Linked DNA regions of Macaca mulatta. The protein of the gene in region 4 interacts with the protein of the main gene of each other region in a pairwise test. Links are inferred from orthologs where the notes say so. Each region holds a gene or a part of one and is shown on either strand. Other genes may lie near its edges. The genes, in order: ZFYVE9, CSRNP1, PPP1R15B, PPP1CA, SPRED1, LMTK2 and TPRN.

Evidence for each region.
Region 1: the proteins of PPP1CA (region 4) and ZFYVE9 interact in binary tests that used the Homo sapiens proteins (3 or more experiments, as listed by UniProt). The link is inferred for Macaca mulatta from reciprocal best matches to the Homo sapiens genes PPP1CA and ZFYVE9.
Region 2: the proteins of PPP1CA (region 4) and CSRNP1 interact in binary tests that used the Homo sapiens proteins (3 or more experiments, as listed by UniProt). The link is inferred for Macaca mulatta from reciprocal best matches to the Homo sapiens genes PPP1CA and CSRNP1.
Region 3: the proteins of PPP1CA (region 4) and PPP1R15B interact in binary tests that used the Homo sapiens proteins (3 or more experiments, as listed by UniProt). The link is inferred for Macaca mulatta from reciprocal best matches to the Homo sapiens genes PPP1CA and PPP1R15B.
Region 5: the proteins of PPP1CA (region 4) and SPRED1 interact in binary tests that used the Homo sapiens proteins (3 or more experiments, as listed by UniProt). The link is inferred for Macaca mulatta from reciprocal best matches to the Homo sapiens genes PPP1CA and SPRED1.
Region 6: the proteins of PPP1CA (region 4) and LMTK2 interact in a two-hybrid assay, tested with the Homo sapiens proteins (2 studies listed by BioGRID and IntAct, with this or other methods). The link is inferred for Macaca mulatta from reciprocal best matches to the Homo sapiens genes PPP1CA and LMTK2.
Region 7: the proteins of PPP1CA (region 4) and TPRN interact in binary tests that used the Homo sapiens proteins (3 or more experiments, as listed by UniProt). The link is inferred for Macaca mulatta from reciprocal best matches to the Homo sapiens genes PPP1CA and TPRN.

Annotation. Positions count from the first base shown.
Region 1 is NC_133406.1:188,440,105-188,444,380, forward strand, and holds the start of ZFYVE9 (zinc finger FYVE domain-containing protein 9), read right to left. Parts: upstream 2,801-4,276; 5' UTR 2,698-2,800; intron 1-2,697. UniProt on the Homo sapiens protein: Early endosomal protein that functions to recruit SMAD2/SMAD3 to intracellular membranes and to the TGF-beta receptor.
Region 2 is NC_133407.1:101,454,037-101,458,332, reverse strand, and holds the start of CSRNP1 (cysteine/serine-rich nuclear protein 1), read left to right. Parts: upstream 1-1,496; 5' UTR 1,497-1,607; intron 1,608-4,296. UniProt on the Homo sapiens protein: Binds to the consensus sequence 5'-AGAGTG-3' and has transcriptional activator activity. May have a tumor-suppressor function. May play a role in apoptosis.
Region 3 is NC_133406.1:62,155,183-62,159,418, forward strand, and holds the start of PPP1R15B (protein phosphatase 1 regulatory subunit 15B), read right to left. Parts: upstream 2,801-4,236; 5' UTR 2,394-2,800; coding exon 483-2,393; intron 1-482. UniProt on the Homo sapiens protein: Maintains low levels of EIF2S1 phosphorylation in unstressed cells by promoting its dephosphorylation by PP1.
Region 4 is NC_133419.1:6,982,226-6,986,170, reverse strand, and holds the start of PPP1CA (serine/threonine-protein phosphatase PP1-alpha catalytic subunit), read right to left. Parts: upstream 2,801-3,945; 5' UTR 2,725-2,800; coding exon 2,670-2,724; intron 2,144-2,669; coding exon 2,012-2,143; intron 1,863-2,011; coding exon 1,632-1,862; intron 605-1,631; coding exon 500-604; intron 156-499; coding exon 1-155. UniProt on the Homo sapiens protein: Protein phosphatase that associates with over 200 regulatory proteins to form highly specific holoenzymes which dephosphorylate hundreds of biological targets.
Region 5 is NC_133412.1:15,562,169-15,566,207, reverse strand, and holds the start of SPRED1 (sprouty-related, EVH1 domain-containing protein 1), read right to left. Parts: upstream 2,801-4,039; 5' UTR 2,500-2,800; coding exon 2,468-2,499; intron 895-2,467; exon of another isoform or gene 774-894; intron 1-773. UniProt on the Homo sapiens protein: Tyrosine kinase substrate that inhibits growth-factor-mediated activation of MAP kinase. Negatively regulates hematopoiesis of bone marrow.
Region 6 is NC_133408.1:45,374,957-45,378,456, forward strand, and holds part of LMTK2 (serine/threonine-protein kinase LMTK2), read left to right. Parts: intron 1-1,697; coding exon 1,698-1,819; intron 1,820-3,500. UniProt on the Homo sapiens protein: Phosphorylates PPP1C, phosphorylase b and CFTR.
Region 7 is NC_133420.1:5,252,974-5,256,473, reverse strand, and holds part of TPRN (taperin), read right to left. Parts: intron 2,807-3,500; 5' UTR 1,690-2,806; coding exon 1-1,689. UniProt on the Homo sapiens protein: Essential for hearing. Required for maintenance of stereocilia on both inner and outer hair cells. Necessary for the integrity of the stereociliary rootlet.

The DNA.
Region 1 (4,276 bases), on a different chromosome or scaffold from region 4:
CTCCACCCGCAGAAAAACCAGTATCACCCCGGACCCTTGCAATCGACGACCACAAGCCTTTAAGGGGTTATGTTATAGTTGAGGAGATGTTATCTTGACCACCAAATATCAGGGCTGGACCTCCTTAGAGGGTTGCACCACCCTAAAACCCTACCTCCACTTCACCAAAGGAACCACCCCCTCAAATTGCCAAAACCACCAGTGCAACCCAGTACTTCTCTCTATTCCTATCCCCACCTCCACCGACCGTATCCCCACTTTAGAGCGCCTTTATGGCCTAGGAGCGGATGTCACTGCAAAAGACCCTACAGGCATCTTTGAAATGAGGTTTGCTCCTCCTCCTCCATCTCCCTCCATTACTCACTTCCCAAAACCACAAAAATCAAACCATTTCTCGCTTCATGTCTAATGACAAAACCAAAGTAGCTATAGTAGAAGTAAAGGATTTACAGCAAACCCTAGCCATAGAAACCGGTTATCAAGATGTAAATGCCTAGCTGGAATGGATTAAATATTCCATTCACACCCTAAATAAAACCGATTGTTACGCTTGTGCAACAGGCAGGCCAGAAACCCAAATTGTTCCCCTCCCACTCAGATGGGCCAACCCATCAGGCAAAGACTGTATGGTAGCTCTCTTCCAGCACCTCACAGCCTGGGGAAACAAGTCATGTGCCACTCTTTCACTACTTTTCCCAAAAGTCAGGAGCCCTATGGGACAGCCCCCAAGGGACATTCGACTTCCTGCTCTCAATGCCAATTTTACCTTGTGTCTCTTACAACAAGGGGAAAATTTGACATTCCTTGGAAACCTGATGGGATGCAGTGGACCTAAACCTTTTCAAGAGCTAACCAATCAGTCAGCCCCAGTCCATCCCCAAGTGGATGTATAGTGGTATAGAGGGGGACCAATATTTGGAACACTGCCAAGCAACTGGAGTGGCACTTGTGCTCTGATCCAATTGGCCATCCCTTTCACCTTGGCATTTCATCAGGAAGCAGGTAACCAGAAGAAAAAAAGAAGCCCCAATAAATGGGTCCTTTGACCCCCAAGTTTACATAGACAGCATCGGGGTCCTGCAGAGGGTACCAAATGAATTCAAAGCTCAAAACCAAATACCCACCAGGTTCGAGTCTATATTATTCTGGTAGTCCACTATAAACAAAAATGTAGACTGGATACATTACATATACTACAATCAGCAGCAATTCATCAATTATACCAGAGATGCCATAAAAGGAATTGCTGAAATTAGACCCCACCAGCCAGATGGCCTGGGAAAATAGAATAACCCTTGACATGGTGTTGGCCAAAAAAGGTGAAGTCTATGTCATGATCAGGGTCCAGTGTTTTATTTTATTCCTAATAATACAGCCCCCGACGGGACAATCATAAAAGCCTTACAAGGCCTTACCATCCTAGCAAATGAACTAGCCGAAAACTCTGGAATAGACGACCCCTTTACAGGACTAATGGAAAGGTGGTCTGGAAAATGGAAAGGACTCATGACCTCAATCTTTACCTTCCTTGCAATTGTTAGAGGTGTACTCATCCTTGTGGGTTGCTGTATCATACCCTGTATTTGTGGGTTAACCCAAAGGCTCACAGAAGCAGCTCTCACAAAAACCTCCCCAACCTCTCCCCCTCTGTACTCAGATAAGCTCTTGCACCTAGATAATCAAGAAGAACAACATAGCCAGATCCTGTTAAAGAAACTTGAAGATGAAGAACTATAAGACAGAAGAGGGGAGATTGTTGGTACAACTGAGTTCCTCTTCAAAGACTCAACTTCCTGGTCATAAGTTGTAAACAATCCTACCCCCTCTTCTGTTAAGCCTAACCATTTCTTCTTTACCCACCCTGCCCCTTCACAAATCACACATTTACCTTATTTGGAAAAGTTTAAGCCTTAGCCAGTGAGGATCAGCTTAGATTATGCAGTCCAACTCCAGTCAATAGGGGAAAGACACAGAAACAGGAACTGTGTTAGGGTTAAAAGCCCCTTCCTTCCTTCCTTTGTTCGGTGTGCTCCTGCATTTGTAACAGGAGTGAACAGCACCCTTCTGCAGAAGTAAAAGTGCCTTGCTGAGAAAATTTCTGTCTTAAGTGCAGGTTTCTTTTGGCTACACCAAGCACTTGTTTCCAACACAGATACTGGGGGTTCACACCCTTAAATAATCTTAAGACTTGAAAAAAAACAACATGACTCCTAGTTAGGAAAAAGTCAAGGGTTCCTGCTCTACAAGAATACTTCCAATTTTCTGCTGGAAATTATTGCTCTACATAATAACTTATCTAAAAATACAAAATAAAATAATGTAATTAACTTTACATTTCTGATTCCCCATCCCCAAATCAGCTTTACTTGTTTAGCTCTTGCATGAGCTAAAATATTGCTCAAAGTCATATTTTTTTCTGAAATTACCTTTCTATACTCAACTAACTCTAAAACGAAGGAGCCAGCACTGGTAGGGAAATTAACATTGTGACCACTGTGACATAAAATAACAGTGATTTTTAAATACCCTTTTCCTCTGAATTTAAGTCAAATCTTTTTGAAGAAAATCATACTCCTGATTTAATAAGATACAATGTTACAAATGAAGCAAATAACATATATGCATCAGTATTATCTTCTATAGATCTCATTGGTTTCTCAAGTTCAATCTCTAAGAGAAATAAAAACATTTTCTTACCTTTTTCCCCTTACACACGTGATAAGGAACAGACTTCTCGGTGCTTACTCATGCTTGCTGCACCACCAGCCAGTCCTGCTGATTCAGTATGCTCTGTTTGATCCTAAATGAAAAACACATTGCTCATTACACTTGATGAAACAATAAACCCTAATTTTCTTCATATAAATCTATCATAGCCAGACAAACAAAAGCAATGGGGCTTGAACAGTAAATACAATTATACCTTTGGATTCAAAGACCTGGCTTGCATGCAAGGCAGCAACAGAGACATTTTATTGTCTGAAAAGGCCAAAAGTTAAATGTTTCAACAAAGAAGAGTTTTTGCACGTTTATTTTCAATGGATAATGCAAAGTGAAACATCAACAGCAGGCACTTTCTACCCAATGACTTCAATTGTGTTAATTCATAAGTATATAATTTGCCTTATAATGGGCCCTCCAAGAATCCAAAGCTAAGAAAACTGCTGCTTCACAAGAATGTCCTTCTAGCGCGATTTTTTTTCAATACATACAGAATTCTTAAGTTGAGTTTCACAAGTTTCTTGTTGTGATTTTTACTGCCAAACTATTTTTTTCTCCAAATGGAGTCTCTTCATTCCAGTCCTCCTCCAACTGCTTAGAAGCAATGGATCTATTAACCCAATATTAACCTTCCCTATCAGGGGTGTATGCAAAAGACAAAGGCTCTTCAAATATTACTACCCTCTTGTGAAAATATGACAATATCCATTAAGTTATGGTAGCCCAACTATAACTGCTTAGAGACAATGTAAAATTCTTTAAGGGCCTAATTTAGCCTTGAACAAGATTAGTAGTTGAAGCTAATCAGAATAAAACTAAGACTATGAATATTATATTATCAGTATAAAATATCTAACACATAATCATAGTATTTTCAGAACAGGTAAGTATATTGGAGATAATTTAATGAACACAGATAAACTGTGTTAAAGATAAACTGAGGCAGCAAGAAAAATTTCCTGACATTACAAATATTCTATTATCAGACGTGAAAATGATGTGCTTAATAAAAAATAAGAGAATAAGAAAAAGACCTAAAATTCAAGTTTCCAAGACCCAATAAAGAATAAAGAATGAAAATCACTGGTAAAAGATTTCCCTGTCTTGAGAACTAGAAAAATATGCATGCTATGATATACTCTAAATGAGAAGAGCTACTGACACTAAGAAACAGATTTATATCTATTAAATAAAGGACTAAGTCATATCAGAAGTATGAAAGTATAAAAATACAAACCAAGGTCAAAATGAGAAAGAAAGTAAAGTAACCACCCCTCTAATATCTAGCTAATTAAAGATTTTCTTAAACAAAATTAACTCTATAGATTCAAGGTCAAATCATATATACAGTTTTTCAATATTGTGAGGCAAGTCCAATAATACAACAGATAATTTTATATATCAACTTGACTGAGACATGGGGTACTCAAATTAAATACTATTTCTGGGTATGTCTGTGAGGGTGTTTCTGGATGAGATTAGCATTTGAATCAGTGTACTGAATAAAACAGATTGCCCTCCCCAATGTGACCAGACATGATCCAATCCATTGAGG
Region 2 (4,296 bases), on a different chromosome or scaffold from region 4:
GGTTTTGTAGGCCCCAAGGAGTTGAGACTTCATCAGGAGGGTACTGAGAAGCCACTGGAAGCTTGGCTCCAGCTGCCCAGACACCTCCCCCTGCAGGCCCCCAGGTACACACTCAACGCATCCGGAAGGACAGGGGCCTTTATCTTCCCCCAACCTGCTTTCCTCCTATTGTTCTTCCAGGAAAGGTAAAGTGGAGCAGACCCCTGCCATTCTACATACACATCTGAGGCTGAAGAGGGGCTCTCACCATCGTCTCCACCCCAGATACCATTCAAACAGGCCAGGAGGTCACCCCCACCCCCAACCTGGAGGAAGGTAGAATGGAATCCTGAGGGCTGGGCTAGTGGCTGACAGCATTCATCTAGGACAGTCAGAAGAACCCAGAATGCAGCGGGAGCAGGACTGGGAGGGGGAGGGTCAGGCTCCCACGAAGGCTCCCTGGAGGAGGCAGTGCAAGCTGAGCCCTTAAAAGCGTTGGGATTCTGGTAAGCAGAGAGAGGGCAGGAGAGCATTCCAGTCGAGAAGACCGGCTGCAGCAAAAGCGTGAGGGTGGAAACGCTCGAGGTGATGGGTAGACCCGTACCTGCGGTTGGGAAGTGGGGCTGAGGGTGGGCTCCCAGGCCAGGACTTGGTTGCCGGGGCAAGTCGTACCGGGAGGGTTGGCCCTGAGTCAGGAAAGGCCTTGGCGGGAGCAGAGAAGGCAGTGGGCCATTTTAAGTGGCCAAGATCTGGCCCGGAAGAAACCAGACTTTTTATTTTTTTAAGGGAAGGTTGAGGTGGGAGTGGGGAAGCTAGTTCCAAGAACCCCTAGTTTGGAACTTCTGCAGGGAAGGGTCTCTTGGCCCGTGGGCAGGGGTGATGTTCAGGCCCACTGATTACATCCATCCTTCCCGCTCCCCGCCTCCCTGCTCCCCACACACCCCAGATTCCTCTCCAGCCACAGTTTACTTTTCCGACGGATCTGGGGGTGGGTGGTAGGTTGGGGGCGGAGGAGGGAACGTTTAGATTCGAATATAATAAACTCCCTCTAGAGGGGTGGGGGTGGAGAGCGTACGGGAGACGTCGGCTGTGCCACTGTCTAGCCCCTGGCCTTGCTCCCGGCCTCAGTCTACCCATCTGTAAGCTGGGGCGGTGGGGCGAGGGGGGATCTCTACTCCCGGCTCTGCCAGCTTGAGTCGTCCGCGCCTTTAGGGACGGTGCTGGAAGCGGGGCGGGGAGGGCTCTGGCGGGAGAGGGCTGGGGGCGGAGAGCGGCGGAGGCGCAGTCGCCGGGTCAGAGTCCGCAGGGAGGCCCCCAGGCCGCTGCGCCAGGCTCCAGGCGGGGGAGGAGGCGGCGCCTCCGGGGCGGGGCTGCCGGGCGGCCTGGCTGGAGGCCCGGCGTGCGTCAGCGCAGTGAGCCCCGGAGTTTTCCACTGACGAGGAGGGCGGAGCGGCGGGCGGGGCTGGGCGCAGCCAGTCTCCCGCCGCCGCCGCCGCTGCCGGACGCGCAGAGCTAGGGGCGGCTGGACCGACGGCTGCCGGGCCGAGCGCACAGAGTCGCGGCGCTGGGGGCGTCCCCCGCCGGGACGCGGGTCGCGTCGTTTTCCTCCGCGAGCGTCCGGATTGCAGGTGAGCGCCGAAGGGCCTTGGGCCCGGCAGGACGGGACTTTGGGGAGGGGGCGTTCAGCGCGAGTGGCACTGCCGCTCCTGCCTCTTGCGGTTCTCTCCTCGGCACCCTGAGCGGGCGCGGGGGCGGGAGCTGCCCGGCTTTGACGGCGTGCCGCGGCCGGAGTCGGGGGCCCGGGGTCCGGCCAGCGGGAGTCGCAGGTTTTCTGCTCCCCTCCCCCGCCCGCCGCGGTAACCCCGAGAGAAGTCACGGCTCCCCGAGCTCTGCGCGAGTGGGGACAGAGCAGGGCTTGCGCGCGAGCGGCAAGGCGACGGGGGCGTGCGTCCGCGGGCGAGTTTCCTTTTGACCCAGTTGCCTGAGAACTTTTCAGAAGTTCCTCGCGTGGCCGGAGCAGGTGACATTTGTCGCCTTCCTCCTCGGGCTCCCCCCTCGGGGAGGCTGCGGGAGCTGCGGCGTGTGCCGGGCGCCCCCGGCCGGCGGGGGTCAGGGAGGGAGTGGAGGGATGAGCGAACAGGGAGGCGCGGTGAGTCACGGACCCCGGGAGGGAGGGAGGGAGGGATTGTGTCGTAGGCTCACCTGTTTGTCAGTCGCCGTCACTCTCAGAGGCCACTGCTGTGAGTCACGGGCGCAGCTACACCGGCCACCCGCAGGCACACGTAGACTCTCTCCCACGCACTTCTCCTCCTTCCGCAGCACGTATTTCCTCCCCTTCCTCAGTTTCTCCTCCCCGGGGCCCATTCACAGGCACGCACTGTGGAGATGCCCACACCACAGCCATAGTCACACACTTAGTCACTCCCGCTCCTGGCACAGTCACACACAGCCGTAGCCCACACTCCTGACACCAGAGAGTCCCTCCCCGTGTCCTGCTGCCCACCCAGCACCTCCACCCAGAAGTCTCAATCCTTTTGGAGAGTAACTCATCACCTCCCCCGACCCAAATCCTTGACAGCCCTGCCCTCTTCTTTCACCACATCCCAGTATCTGCCTTTCTCCTATGCCCTTGGCCTGTCCTCTCACCTGGCCCTGGCAGCACCTCCAACCGGTCACACCCCCTCCACTCCCGGTGCTGAGCCACGTTTTTAAAATGCAAATCTGGCATTGTCACTCCCTAGTTAAGCCCTCTGTGGCTTGCTGTGCCCTCAAGCTAAAGCCTGCCCTGGAGCCCAGGATCAGCCTCGCGGGCTGCCCCTCCTCCGATCACACTCTCCTGGTCCCTCCTCCTGTTCCTTACCCATGCGGAGTCCCTATCTGGAACTCTGCCTACTTTCCTTCCTCAAAGAGACCTACCTTCACCCCAGCCGTACCCTGTCCCACCCTTCAGACCCTCCATCCCAGCAACCCACTCTATTTGTCCTCCCTGCTCAACTCAGAGCTTCAAGAGGGCCGCAGTTGTGTAAGTCTTGCTCCCTGCATGCGCGAGTGCCTGCCACAGTGCTTGGCACGTATTTGTTGAGCTTGGTGCCTATTTGTTGAATGAATGAATGAATGAGAGAGGGAAGAAGGCCCGTCTTAGGTGGAGGAAGCAGTCATTGTCAGGTGCAATGTCCCTTCTGCAAGAACAAGTGCCTCATGTAGCCAGCATACATTTGGCACCTATCCAGTGCCAGGTCCTGAAGGCCAAAGCTGAGGAGCCATCCCCTCCCCCAGCTCTCCTTCAGAGGGATGCTTGGGGAGGAAGTGCCAAGGCTTTCGGTCTGTCCTCTCTGGGCCACCCAGGCTGGTTTTTCAGTGGGGACTAGAGGTGCTGGGAGGTGCCCTCCCCTTCTCCCAGGAAGTTGTTCCTGAGGGACAGGGGTCATGTGACCCCAAGTGTTTTGGGGGGACTGGCCAAGGCCTGGGGCTCAGAGGTTAAAGGACACATTCTTCAGATTCCTGAAGGGGGATGGAGGCAGCTAAAGGTGCCCCCTCCCTAAGACTGGCTTGGGCTGAGGCCTGGGGCACTGGTGGGACTGCCGAGGTGGACAGAGGAGTTGCTGTGACTTTTTCAAGCCCCGCCCCCACTTCTCGAAAACAGCCCTTGGTTGCTTGGTGCCCAGGGGTGAGGTGGCCTTTCCTGGATTCGCATAGTGTGACCTGAGTGTGTGGATAACCGTGGCCAGTTGAGTGGGGGGTTGTCAGTGCCTGTGTGTGGTGGCAGGAGGGCTGCCCAATTGTCAGGGCTCAGATCCCAGAAGAAGCCTGGCTCTCTGATTCAGGGCCTGTCTCTGGGGTTCCTCGGCGGTGAGGTATTTCTGTCCAAGCCAGCTCCTGGGAACTGCTTTTCCTTCCTCCAGGACCCTAGGGAGGGGGCTGTGCTCACCCTGGGAACACTGCCATGGTCAGAATCCTGATTCCTGGGTAGCTGCTGAGGGCCCCTCCCCCCACCTCTGACTCACTGTCTGACACTTAGATTCTCACTATCTTTCATTCCCTCTTGGCCTCTCCTTGTCTCTGGCTCAGTCTTTTTGTCTCATCTCCTGCCTCTGCCTCTTAGCCTCTGGATTCCCACGTGGAACAGAGGAACACGAGAACCAGGGGCACTTCCCCCGCCTCTCCAGAAGGAGTATCAGGGAGGAGGTAATTTCTCATTTCATTCCTGCGCTGCAGATTTGGAAGGGATTGTTCATCACTAGAACCTGCAGCATGACTGTAGCTTCCCTGTGTCTCTGTTTCCCTGTCTGTAGCTTGGAGGTCATAACCTCCTCACCT
Region 3 (4,236 bases), on a different chromosome or scaffold from region 4:
TCATCCCTTTGGGTTGTAATGGACAGGAATGAAGACACTCTTGTTATGTGCAAACAAAATATTAAGTATTTGCAAACAACATACATTTAAAATCAGTTTAAAACTCTATGGCTGTAACAGGACCTTTTCAATCTCTAGAAAAATTAAATCGTGTATACACAAAGTTTAATAGTCCGTTAAAAAGTGTGAAAAGTTGAAGCTTGTAAAGAAACAGTCCAGAACTACCAACCCAAAGAAAAATGGCACTTTCCTGCTAACATCTACACGCTGGTATGTTCGTTGTGGACAGCAAAAATGTGCATGGGGGTGGGGAGTCAGGGAGAGGAGAAGGGTCATTTACATATTTCTCAATGCAAGTATACGAATTTAGAGGTCTTCCTCAAAAACACATGCACTCCTAAGCCTCCAAAGTCATGCTGCTATATTTAACCATATCAAAACAGTCAGAACATATCAGGCATGTTAAAAGATAAGAAACAAACCTTTCTTCTTTTGACATGTGTCTGTCTTCCTCCAGATAGAACGTCACGCAGTACCGAGTCTGGACATTCACTTTCTTGGCTCCCCAACAGCTGCACCTTACAAGAAAGTAAGGTGTGACACTCAGAAATGGCCACAATGGACTCTGATGGGGTCTTTGAGTCACGACAGCCTTTCCCATTTTCCCCTGATGTTTGAAAAGGAGCCTTAAAATTTAAAGGGTTGTAAGGGTCATCAGAATTACAGAAAGAGTTCCACAGTTTGAGACTCTCTGCTTCATCTGCACTAGATTCCCAGTCATCTTCCTCCCCAGAACTATGCTCAGGGGTCTCAGGAAGGCTTCCAGACTGGGAGGAATTCTCTAGATCAGACTCGCCAGACAAATCCTTCTCTGAATCAGAAGGCTCTTCAGGAACAATTCTGGCAGCAGTCTGAATTGTGGCTGTAAAGTTCTGGGGATTATAAGGATCTACACTGTAGAAAGAGTTCCAAAGGTGAAGCCCTTCAGGGTCTTGCTCAAGGTCTGAGTCTGACAGTGAGCTATCACTATCAAAACCATCATCCTCAGCTTCCTCATCCCAATCCTCACCTTCTGGATCAGAACTTGTTTCCAGGTCACTGGATGCACCTCCCAAAATATAATCTATCAGTTTGTTACTACAAGCTGGTCTGGCAGAAATGGGAAGGTCATCTTTTAGGTATGAGTAATCTACTACACTTATTCGGCCCTCTCCAGGCTCCTTTTCCATAGGTATCTCACAAGATGGACAGCTCTCAGAAGGGCTCTGTTCTTCCAAAGCAAGTGGAACTTCTGCAGTTAATAATTCTATTTTTTCTTCAGTGGATTCCTGGGTGGTTCCAGGAATGTCTTCAGCAGCAGGAACAAACTGTGTTGGGTTATCTCTGCAGTGTTTCGGATCCATCCGGAGAAGGTTGTGTTCCTCCTCCAGGCTGTGGTAGCCATTATCCTGGTCAGGGGTGGGTAACTCTTGCCCCTTGCTAGCCTGCTGAAGGAATTCCAGTCGTTTCATGCGAAGATGGTGAATTTCTGGTAGGCCTTCTGTAGAAAGAGGTGGACATCCCTGCCACGAGGCCGGGGTGAGTTCTGCACTCAGCGGCTGGGGATGACAAGGGTCCTCTCTCAGGCAGCTGCTCTCTGCGGTTAGTGTCTGCAAGCCGACTAGCTCGCCATTTCCATCACTGTTCTGATAGCTGACTTCTAGCCTAGGAAAGCAGTCCAGGTAGGAGGGGCTCAGCAAATAGGATACCACATTAAAAGTGTCTATGCGTTGAATGTTTAGAGGCCCAGAGAGCGAAGAGCCAAGTTCCCGGTCAGAGTACAGACGGGATTGAAGGCTACAGGGCAACAGCTCCACTCCCCCTAGCTGCTGCTCTAAGAGAAAAGCGTGTGCTGCAGGGTCCAAAGCACTTCCCTTGGCCTTAAGCTCCAATTCTAAGTCTGGGGGCGAACACTGCCAGTGGATCCCCTCCTCTAGCCAATTAAGGGGACTGGTGGCCGAGGAGTCTGAGGAGTCGAGCTTCAGCGAACTCAAAGATTTCTGCGCTGTGGAGGCGGCTGGTTTCTCCCGTCTCTTCAGGGATCTGTAGACTCCAGCAAAATTTAGCCATCTGGTCGGAAACATTCCACCGAAAAGTTGGCTCCAAATTAGCACCTTCTGAAGCAATCCGGGGAGCGGCGCAAGGAGCTGGGAGAGCAGCTTCGTCCAGTAGCTGACCCGAGTCTCGGGCTGGGCGGAGGAAAGCAGTGTGGGGTCCCCGAAGTTTTCCGGCGCAAGAGGCGTCGGGAACTTAGAAGAGCCTGCTTGCGATCGCCGAGGGAAAAAGGGTGGCCAGAACCGGAAGCCCGCCCGAGGGCCAGGCCGTTTCCGCGATCCGCCTGTCTCAGGCTCCATCTCCTTTTCCTTGGCAGTTTCTCGGGTAGGGCCGCGGCGCTCAGCGGCTGGAGGTCGGACGGGATTCGGAGGAAACCTACAGAGTCTCGGCCTTGCCCAGCGGTGGCGTCGGTGCTCCAGGCCGATCTCCGAGCCAGCAGAAAAGCCACAGAGGGCAGCGGATGCGGCAGCGGGCGGCAGAACACAGGGAGAAACACCCCGCGCAATACGCGGCAGCTGATGCGACTTCCATCCTGGAGGGAAAGGACGTTCCCTAGTCGGCTCGACGCTTCAATACCATCGATAGGAGCCTGCCCACGGCCTCGGCGGTGGTTTTCTGAGTGACAGAAGGTTGAAGAACCCCTGAGCAACGCGACACCGGAAGGACTAGGTAGGTTGACTGGTGCGGTGGAAGCGAAGCCCAAAATGGCCGCAGGGCCCGCGCGCCGGCAGGACACCCCCCAGCCGCCGGAAGAGACGCAGGACTGCTGGGCGTCTACGCCACTAGCGCCGCGCCGCCCAACGTCTCTCGCAAAGCCCTGGGGGGGTGGGGCTTTCCGCCCACTTCCGTGTGGCCGCCGATTGGTCGCGCCTGGTTTCCCTGTCGGCTTCCTTACTCGAGGTAGAGCCGCACGGTAGCGGGAGGTTGCATCAGCCGGCGGGATGCACGCATGCGCAGTTGTTTCTGTGTGGTCTCTTAGGCGACCGCCCCAACAGCCCTCTAGGCTAAAGGGCTTGGGTAGGAAAGGGGTTTTCAAGATAACCCGAGAATTTCCCGGAGGCGTTTTGATGGCCTAATACACACTAACGTGTGTACAGTCATCGCCTCGTATTAAATGGGGATTAGTTCCAGGACGCCGTAGACACCAGAATCCGCAGATTCTGGTCAAGTCCCTTATGTAAAATGGTGTAGTGTTTGCATATAACCTACGTACACCTTCCCAGATACTTTAAATCATCCCCTAGATTAAGTAAATTACCTAATACAATGAAAGTGCTATGGAACTAGTTGTTATGTTGTATTTATTTGTATTATGTTTTATTGTCTTTATTTTTCCCGAATATTTTCAATCCATGGAAAGTTGAATGCCCCGTGGGCCAATTATAGGGTTATCGTAGTCTTAAATTTGTATTGTTTGTTTGTTTGAGACAGGGTCTGGCTGTGTCGCCCAGGCTGGAATGCAGTGGTGCGATCTCGGCTCACTGCAGCCTCAACCTCCTGTGCTCCAGTGAGCCTCCCACCTCAGCCTCCTGAGGAGCTGGGATTACAAGCTCGCACCACCACGCCCAATTTTTTTTTTTTTTTTTTTTTTTTTTTTTTTTTTTTGAGACGGAGTCCCACTCTGTCGCCAGGCTGGAGTGCAGTGGCGCTATCTCCCCGGGTTCAAGCAATTCTGCCTCAGCCTCCCGAGTAGCTTGTACTACAGGTGCGTGCCACCACGCCCAGTAATTTTTTTGTATTTTTGGCAGAGACAGGGTTTCACGATGTTGGCTAGGATGGTCTCGATCTCCTGACCTTATGATCTGCCCACCTCAGCCCCCCAAAGTGCTGAGATTACAGGCGTGAGCCACTGCGCTCAGCCAATGTTTGCATATTTTTGTGGAGACAGGGTTTCGTTGTGTTGCCCACGTTGGTTTCAAACTCGGCTCAAGTTATCTGTCCGCCTGGGCCTCCTAAAATGCTGGGGTTACAGGCGTGAGCCACCGCGCCCAGCCTGACAGGTATTTCAGGGTTCTCGTATTGTTGAGTACTATGTAGACCATCAACCTGAGATCTTATGTAAAAGGTGGGCAGTGCTGCGTAAATACATGTCTGGTATGGGGCAAACTAAACTCACAGAGAAGCAGCTCAGTTCCCAGAACT
Region 4 (3,945 bases):
GGTAAAAGAGACGCCACGGTCGTTCTCGCCCCAGCCCTGCACGTCCTTGTCAGGGTCAGACCACAGCAGGTCACACAGCAGGCCCTGGTCAGGCACGTCTGTGGGCCGCATGATCCGCCGAATCTGCTCCATGGACTGCAGGTCCGGGGAGAGGCCTGGAGGGCCAGAAGGAAGGTCACTTCCTCAAACAAGGACATCCTTCCTCCAGGAAGCCTTGGCCAGTGAGCCTCACCTTTTCCACCACCCTCCTGGTCCCTCCACTGGTCTCCTGGGTGCCTAGGCAGGCAGAAGCCATCCCCTTCCCCTCAGCTTTTTCAAGTTCCCAAACAGGCACAAAGGCGCCCCTGGCCTCCGGAGCACAGAGCTCCTGGGAGAAAGGAGACAAGCCCGCCCCATGTAGGATGCACATCAAGGAAGTGAGTGCAGCCCAGCACAGGGGGGTATGGGAGACACTTCCTGAAAGGAGTGACTTCCCAGATGACAACTAAGGAGAGCTCACCTCCGTGGCAGCAAAAGATCTTTTCGTCCACTATGGCCGCAATGGGCAGGCAGTTGAAGCAGTCAGTGAACGTTTTCCACAGTTTGATGTTGTAGCGTCTCTTGCCTGCCCAGAGGGAGGTAGCTGTGAGGGGTCTGCCTGCTCCACCCTTAGCCGGGGTCTCTGGGCTATTCAGCCGCAGATGGGAGAGAGTCAGGCACCAATGCAAACCACCCCCACCCCTGCCGCCTGTCAGCCTTCCAGGAGTAATTCTAGTTACTTTTTATTTTAATTTGTAATTTAAACAAACAGGATCTGGGCAGGGCATGGTGGCTCACACCTGTAATCCCAGCACTTTGGGAGGCTGAAGCAGGCAGATCACCTGAGGTCAGAAGTTCAAGACCAGCCTGACCAACATGGAGAAACCCTGTCTCTACTAAAATACAAAAAAATTAGCCAGGCGTGGTGTCGCATGCCTGTAATCCCAGCTACTCGGGAGGCTGAGGCAGGAGAATCGCTTGAACCCGGGAGATGGAGGTTGTAGTGAACTGAGATCACACCACTGCACTCCAGCCTGGGCAACAAGAGCGAAACTCCGTCTCAAAAAAGTAAAGAAACAGGGTCTTGTTCAGTCACCCAGGCTGGAGTGCAGTGGCAAGATCATAGCTCACTGTAACTTGGAGCTTCTGAGTCCAAGTGATCTTCCCGCCTCAGCCTCCCACCAGAAGTAATTCTAAAGCACCCGAGTCCACTGGAAACTGAGTTCCAATCTGGACCAGCCTCAGGGTTGGCACTCCTTGCACGCCCCGGCCCACGAGCCGGGCCAAGTACAGGTCTGGTTTATCTCAGCTTCTGGACAGCAGAGCTCATCTGCAAACATCCTAAATGCTTAGTAGCAAATGTAGAGGGAACGTCACCAGGCAGGGCCCTGGGGGAAAGCACTAGAATACGGACAGTCCTTCAGTCAGCAACCATTCCCCAGACCCCATGCCAGGAGGGGCAGGGCAGGCACAAGAACGGACCTGGGCCCTGCCTTCGTGGAGTGCACAGTCTAGCAAGTGTCTGTCAGATATCAGGCCAATGTGAAGGTCCCACTGAATGACAAGGAGTGTGGTTCAGGACCCGGGCAGCCCCAGACGCTCAGACCACTCACACTCATCGTAGAAACCGTAGATGCGGTTGATGCTGGCGCACTCGTGGTTCCCACGGAGCAGGAAGAAGTTCTCGGGGTACTTGATCTTATAGGCCAGCAGCAGGCAGATGGTCTCCAAGGACTGCTTGCCCCTGTCCACATAGTCCCCCAGAAAGAGGTAGTTGCTCTCCGGAGGGAAACCGCCATACTCAAATAGTCGCAGAAGGTCATAGTACTGGCCGTGTATATCACCTGTGACCCAGGGAATCGGGTAAGCTAGATGCAGGGTCTAGACCTGAACCCAGGACCAGGACTGGGCTCAAGGGAGGAGGACTCCAGGAACTCTGTGGGGGCCAGTGCCACTTTCAGGAAAGCAAGGGGACCTGGGTCGGGGGGCTCACCGCAGATCTTGAGGGGTGCCTCCAGCTCCAGAAGAATGGGCTGGCTCAGGAAAATCTCCCGGGATTTCAGGCACAGGCCGCGGATCTCGTTCTCTGTCAGCTGTACATTCTTGCCAGGCCGCGAGCCCTGCACTGGGGGCGCAATGGGGTGTCAAGACCCGGGACCCTGACAGGTGGAGGGTGGGCGACACGGGTGGCCCCATGGATACCTCCGGGGGCGCCTAGGCCTCCTCGGCCGCTCCTTGCCCGCAGGCAGCTGTTGCTGCTGAGCCTCCCGGGACCTCGGCCTCAAGCCTCCCAAGGGAAGCCCCCAACTACCCTCAGCGCCTCGGGAGGCGACTGTCGTGCGCAGGGGGCTGCCACCCAAACACCTCACAGCGCAGGACCCCTTCCTGGACCGGGCTTCCCGGGTTTCTCCCTCGCCTCAAGAACCCAGGCAACCCGTGCGCCCCCGGCCCGGGAGAGGGGGCTGCTCCGCGCGTCGGAGCGGGCCCAGGACCTCTCAGGCGCGTCCGCGGGGGGGCGGCTGCGGCCACCGAACCTCGCGGCCCGTCCCCGCCCAGTCTAAGCTGGCCCCGGGGGCCCGCCCGCGCGCCACTTCCGGGCCCGGCAGGGGGCCCGGGAGCGGCGGACGCAGGCCTCCCCCGCCGCGACCAACCTTCTAGCAGGCGCCCGATGATCGAGTCAAGGTTGAGCTTCTCGCTATCGGACATGGCGGCGCCGCCGCTCCAGCCCAGCAGCTCCGGGCCCGCTCCTGCCTCCCGCCCTCCGGCAGCCTCCTTCCGGCCTGGCTCTCCTTCCGCCCGCCCCAGTCCGCCCCCGGCCCGCGGCCCCGCCTCCGGGCCTCCCGGGCCCGCCCCGCCCGGTCCCCCGCGCTCTAGCGCCCCCGCTGGACGTGAAGCGCCGCGGCCTGGGGGGCGGGGCCTTGGCGGCGGGGTCTGTCGGGGGCGCGTCCAACTGGTTACGCCCCAGAGGAGGCGCCCAGCCCGGTTCAGAGGATGTGGGGCCGGAAGAACTGTGGAAGTTGTTTTTCTCTTTCAAAAGCAGAACAGCCGTTCCCACCCCTGCCCTGGGTGGAGGGTGTTGTGAATATATTAATAACCGGCTGCTAGGCACTGAGGGTTAACTGCTCGAAGTGCAGGAAAGGAAACTGAGGCTCAAGAGATATGAACAGACTGGTGCAAGACCTGGACCTCGCATTCACGTACGACCCCCTTTTTCGTGGGTCTCCGTGGCCCCCAGGCGGCTGACCACACTCAAAGACAGCTACGGCTGAACTTCCAGCGCACTTTGGTCCTTGGGGCATGATAAATTAATATTTTCTTACAAGTCCCATAATTAGCTTTTATTTATTTATTTTTTTTGAGACAGAGTTTTGCTCTGTCGCCTAAGCTGGAGTGCAGTGGCGCGACTTTGGCTCACTGCAACATTCGCTTCCCAGGTTCAAGGGGTTCTCCTGCCTCAGCCTCTGGAGTAGCTGGGATTGCAGGCGCGCGCCACTGCGCCTGGTTTTTGTGTGTTTAGCAGAGGTGGGGTTTCGCCATATTGGCCCGGCTGGTCTTGAACTCCTAACCTCAAGTGATCCACTGGCCTCGACCTCCCAAAGTCCTGGGGGGGTTACAGGCGTGAGCCAACAAGCCTGGCCCCATAATTAGCTTTTGAGTAGCACAGTAATATTGCAGGGTGTGCACGTAAAAAGAATTACTATATGAGCAGACATGGCTGGGTGCAGTGGCTCACGCCTGTAATTCCAGCGCTTTGGGAGGCTGAGGTGGGAGGATCGTTTGAGGTCAGGAGTTCAAGACCAGCCTGGCCAACATGGTGAAACCCCATCTCTCTAAAAATACAAAAAGTTAGCTGGGCATGATGGCAGCCGCCTGTAATCTCAGCTATTGGGGAGGCTGAGGCAGGAGAATCACTTGAACCTGGGAGGC
Region 5 (4,039 bases), on a different chromosome or scaffold from region 4:
CATTAGTTCACCTATTAAAGATGAGATATAAATTACCATATTATAAGCTATATTCCAAATAAGTTCACTCTGTGGTTTATCTAATGCACAAGCAAACAAAATTGCTGGCTCTAGTAAAACTGATTATCAGAAGAACACATTATTTTCTAATATAATAGAGTTTTTTAAAGTAAAACCCCCAAGATTTTGTTCCCATGAAGAGTTAACCAAAATATTATGCTAAATATTATTATCGCCCTACCCAAACTTAAAAGTATTACAAAGCTCCTAGGGAATAATTTATTAATAAAGCAGGATAAATCTGTGAAAAAACGATTTTAAAAGTCTGGGTGAGTGAGGTAATTTCCAAGGTGTCCCATTCTAAGTACATTTGGATTTAAAAAAATATATTTAAAGCAACTCTCCCACTGAAGATTACCATTCGGTGTTTCAAATACCGACATCTTGGGGATTAAATCACTGGGAGTATTTTCTCAGTTTATTTTAACAGCAGTAGAATGCACTATCACTACACACACACAAAAAAATATGTGTTCTCACGTTATTTATGGCAAGTATTTAAAAAACGGCCATTTAGAAAAAATATATTTTACATGTGTGAATTCACATTCCATCATCTGCTTTTTTTATTAGCTGCAACAAGAAGGAAACAAGGAGCTATTAACTGCTTTAAGAAAAAAATTCAACTGGTAAGAAGTCTTTTCCCATCTCTAAAAGAAAACTTAACATTTTTGATCCAAACTATTTGTTTGAAAGATACCAATAAAAGTTACCGTCATTCCGTTCAGCGTTCTTAGCAGCTTTTCTCCTAAATAACCATTATCTGAAATAGACTTCTTGATCTCCCTCAAAGTAGATCTAATCTGCAGAAGGCAGGGAGACACTGTACTGCACTGTGAATGGACAGCCAGGTATTTTATGAATGGAGGCGATCACGTGATCCCAGCACCTCCCCGAACTGATATTTCCCACATAACTGTGTCAACATTCTCAGAACAGGGGTAGTTGTTTGTGTGTGTGTGTGTGTTTTTAAATTTAACCTAAAATTTCACGTTCTTCTTACCTTCTGAACTCTAAAATCTACACACAGACAAACAAGTCGCGAATTTTTTTTCCTGGGAAATCCTTTCAAGATGTCCAAGGTGATGGATGTTTAATTATTTTTTTTATGAATGAAGAGTGTGCTATGCAAATGAGGGCGATTCACAAAAAGAGAGAGAACATGGCTGCCACTTCTGCTTCTACACTGCACTGACACTGCAGCAGTGTACCTCCTTCTACGACCCGCTCAGCAGAAGCGTGTGTTTTGGGGTGGGGAGGGAGTAAGGGGGGAGGAAATGTTGCTTGGCCTTTCTCTAGCTATTTTACGTTAAACAGGACTCGGCACTAGACTTTATAAAGTTCTTTCGAAAACGTCTGACTTTAGTAATGCACTGTATTTAAAGGCATGCATCCAAAGGACTAAGTCCTAACTCACTTAACTCTTTCCAACCCTCCAAAGATAAACAAAAGTTGAACCTAATTACAAGAAAACGGATGCTAACATTCCGCTTGGAATTAAATCCCTTCTCAATAGAAAAGTGTTGCCAACCATTATTTCTCCATGCAGCTGTTAACGTTAAAGCAAAACATTTAAAAGACGAAGTATTTCGTTTGGAAAGCAAGGAGAAAGCCCAAATAAGCAAAAACTTAAACCAGAATGCTCTAAAAGTTGATGAAATCACCAACATATTCAGCAATGTAAATTCGGTTAAATCAACGTAAATCATGTGTTTTCACATAGCTGAAAGGTAAAAATTAGCGTTCAAAATTCTCCTCCGTTCCTAATGAAGACACGTTCAATGTTCACAAAGGTAAACTCTAGCTCAACATCTCCCACACTCCAGGTGTCCTTAATCCTATTAAATTCTAAAAATGTTTCCCTAACCCTATTTTTTACAAGAATCTTATAGGTCATAAGTTTAAAAGGGGGAGGGGGGAGAGAGTGAAGGCTTAATCGGTATTTAAGAGTCACTGACTCATCGAATTAAGATTCAAGAGCAGTTTGCTGCAGGAGGTGCTCCCACACATTAGTTTCCAAGTGAAACAGCTATAAAGGAAGCAGGATAGATATTGACGGTAGGGTGACTGATATGTGAGTGAAAATGGACGGGACAGGGCTCTAACAGGCAAAGGGGTAGTTTCTGCTCCACTTCCATCCACCCACATTATTCCATCTCATGGACGTACAATTGCCATCCTCTCCCAACACTTAATAGCCTTCCCCAAAATAAAGCAACTAAATGTGGGAGGGTGGGGAGGGGTGCTGCCACTAAAAATGGCCAAAGAAATCAGCTATCTCCAGAAGATGCACCGAACTCCCCAGGGTCGCAAGCTTTCCGGCACCCAAGTCTCGGATGGGCCCGGGGGAGAGCCGAGGGCGGATTGGGGGAGGGGGATTAGCAATCGAGATCAATGAGGCGCTTACTCGTTGTCAGAAGTCGCCGTCTCCTCGCTCATCTTTCCCTCACCGTGATCCGATCTGGAGATGGAGGAGCAACAGCAGGCGGGGGAGCAGCAGCAGCACCGAGGGGCAGGAGGCAGCGGCGGCCGGGGGGGCGCGGGGGCAGCGGCACAGGGGCCTCACCATGGTGGATGCCTCACCCAGAACGGTGCCCCCCCAGCCGGGAACCCCGGCCACCCCCACAGGGGGGTGGCGGCAGCAACCTCCGCCGTGGCGACCCCAGCCTCTTCCCCCCGCCTCAGTGCCCAGCCAAGGGATCCGAGGAGGCCCGGTGGAAAGGGAAAAACAGAGGGGCTGCAAAGGCTGACTGGAGAGCAGCTCCTCCAGCCACTGGGGTGGAGCGCAGCGGGGTCCGGCCAGGAAGGAGCCGGCGGGCGGAGAACTCGGGAGCAGAGGCGGCGCTTCCCTCAGGGATGCGGCGAGGAGGAAGCAGAGCTCCGCTCGGTGGGGGCCGGCGGGGGGGTGCCGAGCCCAGGCTCCGGGCAGCGGCGGCGCGGTCCTGCCGGAGCCCACCCCACCATCTCCCGCCTCGCCGCTGGCTGCCCCTCAACCCTCGGCGGCGCCTGGGTCGGTCCTCAGGCGCGGGCAGAGCCGGGCTAGGGGCCCCGCGGCGGCAGATTCCTCCAGACACGCTCCAGCCGGGACTCCTCCTCAGGGGGAAGGAGGGGGCGGCGGGGAGCGTGTGAGGCGAGGGGCAGGCGAGCCGATCGCTCCCACCCGGCCGGAGAAGAGCGGGCGGGCCCGGGTCCGGGGGGCAGGATCCCGAGAAGCGGCGGGAGAGGACAAGAGCGGCCGCAGGTTCCCCACCAGCCGGTGCCCACCAACAGCTCAGCGGGCCAGCTCCTCACGCCCGAGAGAGGGGAGCCGCGAGGGGGGCGGCGGAAGCGCTCACGCCGCCCGCTCCTTCCGCCGCCGCCGCCGCCGCTGCCCGAACCAGGGGCGCCCGCGAGAGAAGGAGGCGAAGTAGTCCCTCGCGACTTCTCCCGGCCGCTCGCTTCCCCCGGAGGCCAGAGCGGGCGCGGGGTGGGGCTGCCTAGCGGGGTGTCCGGGCTGTGAGGGTGTGTGGGTAGGACTAAAAGCCGCGGCCTCCGGGCGAATCACTGCAACTCGAAGTCGTTTGCAGCATAGCAAGTTTCAGGAAAGTAGTTCCCTCCTCCCTTCATTTCCCAAATCGTTGTCGAGCCACTTAGCGGGGAAAGGGGGAGGGAGGCGGAGGGATACCGCCCTGCACCGTGCTCGGTGTGCGTGCGCGCGCTCCAAACTCTTGGCACGCCGCGAAAGGGGGCGGGGGTGGAAGCTGCGAAGGGAGCTGCTAGGGAGGTTGCATTGTTGTGGCGCTTTACTCCCCGTTACTCTGCTTGGAATATCCGGGTTGCTTGAACGAAGAGGCTAGAAGGACAGTGTGGCTCAGAGGGGAAATCTGGAGGCTACTCTCTTCTGCCGTGTGTTTGTGTATGTTTTCCTCGCAGAGCAAAGAATGGAACTGGCATGAGTTCATCTTTAGTTAGTGGGGGTTAGAAGCAGGGACTGTGCAAA
Region 6 (3,500 bases), on a different chromosome or scaffold from region 4:
TCTTGATCTCCTGACCTCGTGATCTGCCCGTCTCGGCCTCTAAAAGTGCTGGGATTACAGGCATGAGCTACCGCGCCCGGCCAAGATGGGGTGTCACCATGTTAGCCGGGATGGTCTTGATCTCCTGACCTTGTGATCTGCCTGCCTTGGCCTCTCAAAGTGCTGGGATTACAGGAGTGAGCCACCGCGCCCAGCCTAAAAATATTTATAAATGATGTAGTCTGATGGTGCATAATAAATTTTGGAGTGAACACATGAGCAACAGTAATTATTACCTGTTAATGATAAAATATACATATCATATAAATGTTTCTCCATTACATGGTCAGTAAAATTTCAGCTCACATTCAGTAACCTGGGAATTTAGGTTTTTTTTTTAACTCTGTCACAAATATATCCTAAAGGAAAAAAGTGAAGAAGTCAATGAAGTTTCCATTTGTGTGTGTTTGTGTAGCCCCAGTGAATGAGGTAGAGCGCTGTGGGGCAGAGAATGGGACTGTCCCAGCTCTGGGCTGTCAGGAGACCTCAGAGAAGCCACTTGACCTCCATTTTATTTTCTTTTCTTTTTTTTTTTTTTTTTAATGGAGTCTTGCTATATTGCCCAGGCTGTTCTCAAACTCCTGGGCTCAAGCAACTTGCCTGTCTCAGCCTCCCAGAGTACTAGGATTACAGGTGTGAGTCACCCCACCCAGCCTTGACCACCACTTTCTAAGCAGCAACATATGGATAAGATCTGTTCTATTTTTCGGAGTTCTTGTGAGGACCAAATGGGTAATATTTTCAAAGAATATTATGCAAATAGAAGTTGGTTATTTGTCTACATAGTAGCTCTAGTGTCTCAAGCACTTGTTAGATGCCAGGCACTTAGCAGCACCTGCCTGCATCCTGCATCATCTCTTTTTTTCTTTTTCTGAGATGGAGTCTCGCTCTGTCACCTAGGCTGGAGTACAGTGGCGTGATCTCGGCTCACTGAAACCTCCACCTCCTGGGTTCAAGCGATTCTCCTGCCTTAGCCTTCCGAGTAGTTGGGACTACAGGCTCCCTCCACCATGCCCGGCTGATTTTTGTATTTTTAGTAGAGATGGGGTTTCACCCTGTTGGCCAGGCTGGTCTCGAACTCCTGACCTTGTGATCCACCTGCCTCGGCCTTCCAAAGTGCTGAGATTACAGGCATGAGCCACCGCGCCTGGCCTACATCATCTCATTTAATCCTCACCACAAAGAGTGGGTTTTCCTCATTTCACTGATCCGGAAAACACTTCACAAAGTTGTTGCTTGCCTAGAATCCCATAGCTGTTAAATGGTAGAATGAGGACTTCAGATCCCTGTCAGAGTCTAAAGGCTGCAGTCTTACTAACTGGTTTCACTATTCAGCACATAAGGCCCAGTATATATTGTTTTAATGTTTTGCTCAAAGTCTATGTTATATGCATCAGACACAGCGTACTTTCCTTTTCCAGGAAAGATGACTTAGCAAGTGTTCATGGCTTGCAGATGAGCCCATGAAGCCCAGGAGGCTTCAGAGAAACTCCTTACCCACTTTCCGCCCAGAAAGTCGCTCTTCATGCCTGCTTTTTTTTCTGACCTGGTTTTTTTGGACTGGGTATATGTTTTCTGAGAATACCATGGATTTAAATTCTTGAACTCACCAAAAGTATAATTCTATTCAAAATTCTGTGTGCTTTCTAACAAAACAGGAGGATTATATTGAAACAGATGATAAAAAAGTTTTCCCTCTGCGATGGACTGCTCCAGAATTAGTAACCAGCTTTCAAGACAGACTGCTCACTGCAGATCAGACTAAGTATAGTAATATCTGGTATGTATTGGCTTACCGTTTTATTAGGCATTTCTTTAACAAAGTCCTAACTTCTTCCTCTTTGAGTACTTTCTTAAAGGAAAGTAGTTGTATAAGATGCAGGAACAAAAGAGTGCCTGATGGTGTGAAAATGACAGTTTAAGAAACATAATAGCAATTATCACAATTGTAGTGATGTAGTTAACGTTTTGAATACTGCCTCTGCTACCCATTTTCCTTTATAAAAGCAGGAACCAAGTCGTTTCATGTTCTGTGCCTCCCACAGGACCTGATATATAATAGATATTTAATACGTATTTATTGAAGTGAAAGAAAAAACTGAAAGGGGTGTGAACTGTCATGTTTATACTATGATTTATAGGAGTCTGTTTAACGGAAGCTAAGAAGATGCACCTAAAACTTTGACTAACAATTTCTGTCACAGCCTTCTTAATTTATAGCTATGTTGTATGTGCTGTTGTCCTGCTTTTTGATTTTTGGGGTTTTTTTCCCTCTTCTTGCCTTCTTTTGGATTTCTTTAAAACAATATTTTTTGCTTTTATTATTTTTTTCATTGACGAGTGTAATTGGACATATTTATGGGGTACAGTGATATATATATATATATATATATATATATATGTATTTTTTTTAGAGTCTCACTGTTGCCCTGGCTGGAGTACAGTGGTACAGTCTCGGCTCATGGCTCACTGCAATGTCCGCCTCCCTGGTTCAAGTAATTCTTGTGCCTCAGCCTCCCGAGTATTTGGGATTACCGATATGTACCACACCTGGCTAATTTTTGTATTTTTAGTAAAGATGGGGTTTCGCCATGCTGGCCAGGCTGGTCTCGAACTCCTGACCTCAGGTGATCCGCCTGCCTCGGCCTCCCAAAGTATTGGGATTACAGGTGTGAGCCACCGCACCTGGCCTAGTGTAATATTTTGATACCTATATACAGTGTGTGATGATCAAATCAGGGTAACTAGTATCCCCTTCACCTCAAGCGTGTCATTTTTTTTTGTTTTGGGGAACATTCAAAAGCTGCTCTTCTAGTTGTTTGAAAATATTCAAAAATTTGGCCGGGCGCGGTGGCTCAAGCCTGTAATCCCAGCACTTTGAGAGGCTGAGGTGGGTGGATCACGAGGTCAGGAGATCGAGACCATCCTGGCTAACACGGTGAAACCCTGTCTCTACTAAAAAAATACAAAAATCTAGCTGGGCGAGGTGGCGGGTGCCTGTAGTCCAAGCTACTCGGGAGACTGAGGCAGTAGAATGGCATAAACCTGGGAGGCAGAGTTTGCAGTGAGCTGAGATCTGGCCACTGCACTCCAGCCTGGGCGACAGAGCGAGAGTCCGTCTCAAAAAATAAAAATAAAAAAAAAGAAAATATACAAAAATTTGTTGTTAATTATAGTCACCCTTCAGTGCTGCAGAACACTAGATCTTACTCCTTCTGTCCAGCTGAAATTTTGTGTTTGTTAGCCAGCCTCTCACTATTCCTCCCCTCCCTCCCCTTCCCAGCCTCAAGTAACCACTCTTCTACTCTCTACTTCTATGAGATCAACCTTTTTAACTTCCACATGAGTGAGGAGGTTTTCTTCCTTTTTCTTTCTCCCTTGTGTATCTGCTCTACCTTGTGTATTGTGAGTTTGATACTTTTGTGTTTTTTCATGATGATGGTTATCCTCCTTTAGCTTCC
Region 7 (3,500 bases), on a different chromosome or scaffold from region 4:
CTCCTGTGGCCGGGGCTTCCCGTTGGCCTGACTGAAGTTCTGGCCCTGCAGGGCCTCTGGCTTCCTCTTGGGCACCACTGTGAAGGTGTTGCTGCCCCGGGGCTGAAGCTCTGCCACGCACCCGGGTCTGGCAGGACGCAGGGAGCAGGGTAGTTTGGCTTCTTGGGGGGCCTCCTCCCAGTCTACCTCATCGATGAAGGTGACAGGCAGCCCTGGCTTCCCGTATTCCCGGCTACTCTTGTCCAAGCCAGGAACCCTGAGGCCCTCAGCAGGCTCAGCTTCTTCTGCAGCAGCCGGCAGGAAGGGGGGTGGTGAGGACGGCCTCTGCCACCTGATGGCCCGGTCAGTGAGGGCGGTGGCTGTCCTGGGACAGGCCCCCTCCTCGACTGCCCACTGTGCCTCGACCTCCACGGGGCTCTTCCCTTGGGCAGGCGCACCATCCCCTCCAGGCACCGGCTGGGATCCGAGCTCCTGGCTCGGGGAGGCCGGGCCCACGTCTCCCTTTGGCAGCTCCACGGACTGCGCCCCCTCAGGAGGAGGGGCCCCGGAGGCCTTGCTCTTGGGAATGAACATGAAGGAATTTCGAGAGTTTGCGCGGAGGCTGGCCAGCGCCCGGGCCTGGAGGTCCCCCGAGGGGATGGTCTCCATATCTGGCTTGGGGGCCGGCCGAATCTCGAAGGAGTCGTTGGCGCTGGTGGCTGCGGAGACGCACTGGCGCTGGCTAGGAGTGGCACTGGCAGGGGGCGAGGCTGGAGTGGCACTCGGGGTCCCGGGGCTGGGGGGCGGGTGGAGGGAGGGATCCCCCGACTCCACCTTTGGCTTCCACTGTCCTGACCCAGGCGGGGAGCCCGCGAGGCGGTTGGCAGGGCCGGCCCGGGGCTCCGGGACCAAGGGCCCGTTGGAGAGCAGGTGGGCGTCCGCACCGCGATGCAGACCCCGGGGGTGAACGGTGAAGGAGTTGCTGCCGGTCTTCTGGAGGAAGTCGCTGCGGCGGGCCCCGGGGCTCGCCCCTCCACCGCGGGGCCCGGGCGCGACGGGCGGGCTGGGGACGGCGGGCGGGAGCCGGGGCTGCGCGGGCGGCGGCGGCGGCGGCGGCGGGGGCGGGGGGCGGGCGCGCTCGGGGCTCTCGCGGCGGCGCGGCGCAGCGGGCGGGTCGAACCTCTCCAGCAGGCGGCTGACGCGGCCGGGCGGCGCCCCGTACACCAGCACCTCGGCGGCGCGGATCTGCGCGGCCCCTGGGGCGGGCGGGGAGGGCGGCGCGGGCGGGAAGCCGGGCACCGTCTCGATGATAAGGACGCTGTCGGCGCGGAGGGCGCGCACGCCGGGCACGCGGCGGTACCGCTCCAGCAGCCGCGCCCCCGCCGCGCCCCCGCCCCGCCGCCGCTCGGCCTCCAGCCGCATGAACGGGTTCTCGCGCAGCGGGCCCAGGCTCTCGGCCAGCACCCGCTGCTCGGGCTCCGCCGCCCCGGGCCCCGCGCCCCCGCCCAGCGCGGCCAGTTTGGCCCGCTTCCGCTCCAGGATCTCGCGCTTCCAGGCGGGCACCGCAGCGCGCGGCCCCGAGCCCGGCCGCCCCAGGGCGGCCATGCTTCGAACGCGGCCGCGGACGGCTGGACTGAGGGCCGGAGTGGCCGCCGCCGTCGCGGCAGACCTGGGCGCCGCGGCCACGCCCCCTCCCGGGCCACCGACCATTGGGGGGAAGCCCGCTCTCCCCGCCCCGCGCGGGACGCCCACCTATGGCAGGAGAGGAGGGCGGGCCCCTCAGGTGACCCTACCGATTGGACAACACTCTCCTCAACCCCGCCTCCCAAGGGACTTCATTGGACAACGCCTATCACCGGAGCCGGCCTCCATTGGGAAGGCCCCTCGGACACACCCAGGCGCCTCGCGCCGCTCACTGGCGGACCCCACTTCCGCCCCTGCGCTGTCGCCTCCCGGCGTCCCTGCGGGGAGCTGGGTGGGCGGCCCCTGGGCCCCGCGCCTCGAGTGACCTTGGCTGAGCTTGGGACTTCCTCACGCTGCCAGCACCGAGGCCGCCTGTTCCATCCGCTGAGGGTGCAGGAAGGGGGCTGCTCCAAGACCGAAGGCACCCGCGCCCATGGACGGTGCACAGGCCACACTCTGGCCCGGACCCTGCTTTCACCAGGGGCCCTCCGACCTCCGGCAGGTGCCTGCGGGGCTTCGAAATGCCAATTCTGGAGCCCTGAGCAGCCCCAACGAACCAGTTTCTCAGAAATCGCTAGTTTTTATAGGCTGCCCAGGTGGGAGCCTCTTACCCCAACCTTTCCATCCGTGGTCCCCACAAAGCATGTGCAGGAGCAGGCACAAAGGAAGCAGCCTCTCCCGCCACACGCAAGCAGGCTCACCAGGGCAGGGCCCTGTATGCTTGGACAGTTCTCCAATGCATTAAGAGCCAAAAAAAAAAAAAAAAAAAAAAAGCCAGGGTAACGGTGGGCCCCATAGGGCCGACCCCTGCGTCTTATCACTCCACCCTGCCGCCACGTTAAGGCTACTCCTCTCCCATCGGTTGAACTTCCCCCCATTCAGGCTCCAGATGCCATGACCCTGAGGGCACAGCCTCCAGGCCGACAAGTCCCTTCTGTCCCAGGGAGGGCTTCGGAGTGCTTCCACAGTCTTTCAAGCCTGCAGATAATAGGGAGATCGCTTGGAGCCATGGGGAGAAGGGGAATTGGAGTGCGGACATCACCGTTCCATCACCTGCCCTGCAGTCAGCAGCCTGCTCAGTAGACACTGCTGCTTCCCACACCACTTGCCTGTCAGGGACAGTGCTCCAGGGTCACCTGGGTCTCTGCGAAGACACAGAACAGGTTTTTCTTTTTTTAACTTGGGGATGCCCTCCTCAGCTTCTGTGCCCCATGACAGTCTGCAGCAGCCGCTAGCTTAATGCTGCCTTATTCTCCTGCCACTCCATTAAGCTGGAGAAAATAATTTTTTTTTTTTTTTTTTGAGATGGAGTCTTGCTCTTGTCACCCAGGCTGGAGTGCAGTGGCAGGATCTCGGCTCACTGCAACCTCCGCCTCCCGGATTCAAGTGATTCTCCTGCCTTAGCCTCCCAAGTATCTGGGGTTACAGGCACCTGCCACAACGCCCAGCTCATTTTTGTATTTTTAGTAGAGCCAGGGTTCTGCCATGTTGGCCAGACTGATCTCGAACTCCTGGCCTCGTGATCCGCCTGCCTTGGCCTCCCAAAGTGCTGAGATTACAGGCGTGAGCCACCGCGCCCGGCCAGAATTTCATTTCAGCCTTCCAGAAGCCAAGTGTCTCCTCCCATAGGGCCCTCCTCAAATCGCCTTTCCAAAGGAAGCATCCAATGTTCATCACTTCTACCCTAATAGGGTTGCCCAATTCTGAACTACCAAAATAAAACAGGGGAACACACAAAACACAAAATCTAGAAATAAATAACATCACGAGGAAACTCACTCCCACTGTTCAGCTTGAATCTGGCTTTGACAAAAGTTATGCCGACCCCAGGCTTGACA